Nothobranchius furzeri: one gene and its partner. The protein of the gene in region 1 interacts with the protein of each later gene in a pairwise test. Links are inferred from orthologs where the notes say so. Each region holds a gene or a part of one and is shown on either strand. Other genes may lie near its edges.

What was found.
Region 2: the proteins of bnip3lb (region 1) and smco4 interact in binary tests that used the Homo sapiens proteins (3 or more experiments, as listed by UniProt). The two-hybrid records come from large-scale screens. The link is inferred for Nothobranchius furzeri from reciprocal best matches to the Homo sapiens genes BNIP3L and SMCO4.

Annotation. Positions count from the first base shown.
Region 1 is NC_091746.1:40,539,281-40,543,117, reverse strand, and holds part of bnip3lb (BCL2 interacting protein 3 like b), read right to left. Parts: intron 3,427-3,837; coding exon 3,277-3,426; intron 1-3,276.
Region 2 is NC_091753.1:61,339,832-61,342,189, forward strand, and holds the end of smco4 (single-pass membrane and coiled-coil domain-containing protein 4), read left to right. Parts: intron 1-895; 5' UTR 896-932; coding exon 933-1,112; 3' UTR 1,113-1,597; downstream 1,598-2,358.

The DNA of each region.
Region 1 (3,837 bases):
TTGGGCATCTGGTCAGGAAGCCTCCTGGATGCCTCCCTGGGGAGGTGTTTCGGGCATGTCCTGCTGGCAGGAGGCCCCCGGGTCGACCCAGGACACGTTGGAGAGGTTACATCTCTAATCTGGTCTGGGAACGCCTTGGGGTCCTGCCGGAGGAGCTGGTGGAGGTGGCCGGGGAGAGGACGGTCTGGAGCTCCCTAGTTGGGCTGCTGCCCCCGCGACCCAGACCCGGATAAGTGGAGGAAGACGAGGACGAGGACCACCAGGCCCTTACTCTGAGTTTTTGGATCAGATCTCTGGTTTTTTATGTGATTTGGTGCTGAATACCGATAAGGTCATTGTAGTGGGGGATTTTAACATTCATGTGGACATTGAAAATGATTGCCTCAATGTAGCCTTTTGTAATATATTAGATTGAATTGGTTTTAGCCAAAGAATACATAGCTCCATCCACTCCTCCCATCATGCATTAGACCTTGTGCTGACTTATGGCATAGAGTCTGAGGAAATAACGATATTTCCACATAATCCAGTCCTCTCTGACAACTTTTTGATAACCTTTGAGTTTTTATAACTGAGTTCTCGAGACATGAAAGTAAATTTCACTATAGTCGGTCTCTGTCTGTTGCATCTTTTGAATCAACTGTTCCATCTTTACTCTCTTCAGCCTCTCAGAGGAACGTAGCAGAGGGCAATATTTTCATTTCTAGCCCTTCACAAATTGATGGTCTAGTTCGGAAAAATAGTCTTGTGCTTTATAAAAATACCGGTTTTATATCTGGAAAGGTCACATGAGGCATAGGACATAATTACAAACGACAACGTGTCTTCATGAAAACAGACAGTATCTTATTATTTTTTACAATCTGGACACCAATCCCTCCCAAAGTTGTCTCACATTATCTGATAGATGAAAACTTAAAGGAGGTGGATTAAAAGCGGGTTCCAGACGTCCACGTCAACTCTGGGACTCTTCAGTGAAGATTTGACTTACAAATATTTAGAACATATGTTAAAAGTCCCCCGTTTGCGGTGCATTGATCACACTACATTTCCCATGATGCACCTCAGCATATTTCCTGAGTGTGCCCCGCTGTTTTGCTGACTGAGCAGGTGAAAAAAGTTGAGGTGTTTGTCGGTGTTTCCTGGGTGTATACCTCCTGTGTGCATACTTGTGTGAGTATGGAAGCTGAGCTGAATGTATGTGCACGTATAAACATGGATAGATGTCCTCTATTGTTGTTTATTGTCGTTTGTGGACTGTTTAGTCTGTATAGTACAGATTTACAGAACCCAACGCCATAATGGGGCCTACAGTGTATTGGGGGTGTGTTTGCTTTGCTATTTATCCTAGTCGCTGGACTGGATCTATTAGTGGTGCGTCTCCAATCTTTGAACTGTTGGCCAGTTTATGTTTATGTTTATTCATTTAGGAGACGCTTTTATCCAAAGCGACTTACAATTTATAACCTGTAGGGCATGTTGTGATCTGTGGGGGAAACCGGAGTACCCGGAGGAAACCCACGCATGCAAGGGGAGAACACGCAACTCCACGCAGAAAGGCCGCAGCCGAGTTTCGAACCTGCAACCTTCGTGCTGCGAGGCAACAGTGCTAACCACTGCGACACCATGCAGCCCAGTTGAGCCTGTTAAAGTTAGCTGATATTTATCAGTCTCTGTCGCTTGATAGTGCCATCTGGTGGACGTATTATGGTTGTGTAAATTATGGTATTAGAGTTGCAAAATCATTGTATAGAGTTGTAGATTGACCATCATGTATTGCTGTCTGTTGATCTCTCTCCCCTTTATTTGTATTTTCTAGATAACCACATCACATCACATCCCATGTATAGAGCTCCGGACCCCACGTGACTCTCAGTTAGTAGACGCCATTTTGGCATGCAAAAAAGGTAAACAAACACGGATGTAACCATGAACATGAACGGGATCCGCTTGGATTTTACTTCGTCGGAGTTTACTTCACACTTTAAAACAGAAGAAATCGTTTTATATAGTCAGAAATTAAATAGACTAAACATCTCCGACCCTTACCGTGCCCCTGGGATACTTTTTAAAAATGCCAGAAGCTGTCGGAGCGGGCTTCTTACCGGCACAACACCGGACCTGACCGGGGAACCCCTTGGGATTTACCCGGAGGAGCTGGCTCCGGCGGCTGGGGAGAGGGAAGTCACGCTACTGCCCCCGCAACCCGACTCCGGATACGCGGATGAAAATGGATGGATGGACGGACAAATAACAGATTTACACGTAAGTAGTCTCGGTGAGACAGATAATAGCAATCCAAAGTGCTTTTTATGTGTGATCTGACAATTGATCAACCATTGCTTAAAAATTAAATACAGCTTAGCCGGTTAATTGCTGTCATCATAAAACACGGAAACGGCAGCACGCAGAACTCACAAGGCAATGTTTTACGTGATGTTTACTTGCTGCTATGAGTAATAAGACAGAAAAAGCCACGTCAAAATAAGTTTAGGAAGCCCACTAAGAATCATAATAAAAGCATTTAAAATAAATACCATATACAGCTGAGGAAACGTTGGTTTAAGTACCTGATATGAAGTTGTCGCTGCATAAGCGAAAACCTTTACTCTCGGGGTCCCACAGCTTCATTTTAGCTCGGTCACTAGTGCGTTTTATTACAATGATCCAACGTTTGCGGCGCTCCGGATCTTGGGGAATCCTGTAGATGGCTCATTCCTTATGTCGTCCGCGTCTGTTCTGCATCCTGGGGCACAACAGGAATCTACCATATTTCCTGTTTAATTGAGTTTTCTGACAATAACAAATAGTCCAGCTGCCGGCTTCTGCCTGCCAATATGGCGCCGTTTCGATTTGAACTGTTGCATGCCGGGAAACGTGACGTCAACTCCCGGAGCTCTATACACCCACAGTCACACACATATTGAGGACATCTGTACACACTGGAACAGAATGCTAATAAACAGCTTGAACTGTACCAATGGAGTTGGTTCCGAGAGTTCTTTCTGACCGAGGAAGACTCAGTTGAAGCAAATCAGAAATCAGTGCAGTAAATTTTACAACATGTCTGGATTAAAATCCCACATATTGGAGGCAAACTGGGATTCATTTTCCTGTTCCAAAACAAACTGACAGTTGGATCAACCTAACAACTAAAAGACAACATCTCTAAAGTTGAGCTACAGACCACTCCTTATGGTAAATTAAACCTGAAATGGCAAGAAAATAAATAATTTAAATATATACAACCATAAAGGTGATGTGAGGCACTCTTACCCCAGCCCCAGAGCCAGGATGTGTGATAGCAGCAGCGAGGGGATGAACACTTTGAGGAACTCAGCAGAGAAGATGCCTCCTTTCTTCATGGCGCCGGTCTTCCTCATGCTGAGCGTTACGGAGCGTCGAGGGTGACGGAAATGGAACTCCCTGCAAAAACATCACACACGTTTTTATGTGCACTCTGATTAGACATCTGTGCTTTCGAAGCAGCTTTCCTCTGGTTTATTTAACACTCAGAAAAGCGGTCTGTCCAGTTGTGTTTATGTGACTGACTAGTTAAGAGCCTAACAGTGTTTAAACTAATGTCTGAATGTTTCAGAAATAATAACATTAAACTCTTTATGATCTTCTCTTTAAATATCTCAACATTTTTGTAATACTCTATGTTGATTTGAATATTATGAAAGTAATTTAGGTAACGAGCTGCCACTGCTGGAATAAATCTACTTCCTAAGAGGTGAACTCTGGTTACGTTACGTTATGATGAAATAATCAGAAACCCTCAGCTGAAGGACTTTAAGCGCAGTTATAGTCTAATATATATTTTAAAGGAGGACA
Region 2 (2,358 bases), on another chromosome or scaffold:
AAACACAAAAAGCATAACCATTGGTGCCACCCATGCACAAAGTTGTGCCTCACCTGGGCCACCCCATTTTAAAAGATGTGGACACACCACTGACCAGGACCACACCCCTAAATGCATTGAAGCAACTGTCGTGATTGGTTGATTAGATAATTGCATTAAGGAGAAGTTGAACAGCTGTTCCTAATAATCCTTTAGGTGAGCGTACGCTTTTTGAGGACGGCAATCATTGACCATCCCATAATGGTAATTAAACAGACAGTGTCTTTAACTACCACCCAAAGTTTTACATTAAAATTAACAAGATAATTAAATGGCCAACATCTTCATCTCTTCAACGTGTTTTTGTCCGATTGGTCTCTTTCCCACCCTTCCAGCCCTTTTGCCATAGTACACGTTGTTTGTGTGCAGTTGAATTGTGTGAGTGCATTTGACTGAAAGGCTTTCCTGAAGTTTAAAGAGCAAGTCACCCCCAAATAAACTTTTTTTTGCTGATAAACTAAATAAACGAGTGTCTAATCGTGCTGCAGACACGTGTCGTCAATAATTTGGCACTTCAGTGCATCTTAGTTCAAATTTAAATATTCTGCCTAAAACTGGCAGTGTTGTGCCGTTGTCAGGTTAAAACTCTGCACTGTATTTTAATTTAAATCTGCCACCGCTATTGGCTAAGAGGTATGCTATGATGTAAACTGGTACATTATGATGTCACTATGCTGTCGTGAGTGTGTGTGTATTTGTTAGTGGCTCCGCCCTCTCGGTCTGCCAGGCAACAGCATGTGTTGCATTTTTCAAACATGAAGTGGGAGTGGAGTTAGACTCTGGTAGGGGGTAACTTGCTCTTTAAGCTCAGCAGTTTACTCAAAGAAAACTTGTATGCTGTTTTGCGTTTACTTAGGTGTGACTAAAGCAGACGGAGACATCGCTGAAGCATCATGAGGCAGCTCAAAGGCAAACCTAAAAAGGAGACATCTAAAGACAAGAAGGAGCGGAAGCAGGCGATGCAGGAAGCCCGACAGCAGGTGGCCACCGTGGTGGTTCCTACCCTGGCTGTAGTGGTGCTGCTTATCATCCTCTTCGTCTATGTAGCCACCAGGCCAGGTGCCATCGAGTGAATGGTAGAACTAAAACTTCAGGGTGAGAGAACATAACAGAGGCTGTACCCAAAGAATGGACCCCCCATGACACCGCTGTCCTCAAAATGCTTCAGGCATCTATCAGACGTCATCTCTTCTGCTGAGTGTCTGAACGTGATTCAGGCTGTTCTTCAGTGCCTTCGTACGTGAATGATGAGATCACTTATTTATGACATATTCAAATCTCAATCAATATTCTATACCAAAGGATATGCACAGCTCAACAAGTTTGATTACACTTGTTAAAATGTTAACAAAAAACACTGTACTTAAGTGTTAATGTAAACTTTTCTACTCAGTCATGTACAACTCGACTTTTGACAAAGTTTCCTCTTAAATCCAGCAAGATGTGGATTTACTGGTGTGAATGTTCACCCGTTTCTCTTACAGTTCAGCTAAACAGAGAATGTTCTGTTGTATCAAGGTGCCTTAACAGATTATAATAAATTACTTTTTGAAAGAAAGTTTTGTGTTTTCTTCCAGAGGTCCAAAGTATGGAACTAGGATTGGAATAATAGTACATCTAACTTGTACCAAGCTTTGTAATCTGTAACATGTTTTGTAACTGTAAATTTCGTTTAGTAGAATGTAATTCTTGTTTTGTAACACGTAGCATTTGGTACAAAACATGAAACTTTCATTTAGTAACTTGCAGAAAACAATCAATGTACAAGTTTCAAATCACAACTCTCAAAACACACATCTCAGTCTATAGTTACAAAACTCAAGTCTACAAGTACTAAACATTTTGTCCCAATTCTAGCTTCCTTCCCAAAGAACCAATGAGAGGCATTGTCTGACCAGCCAATCATGAGTCTTGGGTTCCTTTTCGAAGACAATTTCTGTTGGAAGCAAGCTAGAATAGGAACATAATGTTTTGTACTTGTAGACTTGAATTTTGTAACTGTAGACTGAGATTTGTGTTTTGAAAGTTATGATTTGAAATAGTACTTTGAATTTTTTCTGCATGTTACAAAATAAAAGTTTCATGTTACGTACCAAAATTGCGTTACAAAATGAGAATTACATGCTACAAAACCAAAGTTACCTGTTACAAAATGAAAGTTACATGTTACAAAACATGAATTGCCGTTGTCGTCTTCCTCTGCTTATACGGGTCCGGGTCACGGGGGCAGCATCCCAACTAGGGAGCTCCAGACCGTCCTCTCCCCGGCCACCTCCATCAGTTCCTCCGGCAGGACCCCAAGGTGTTCCTGGACCAGAT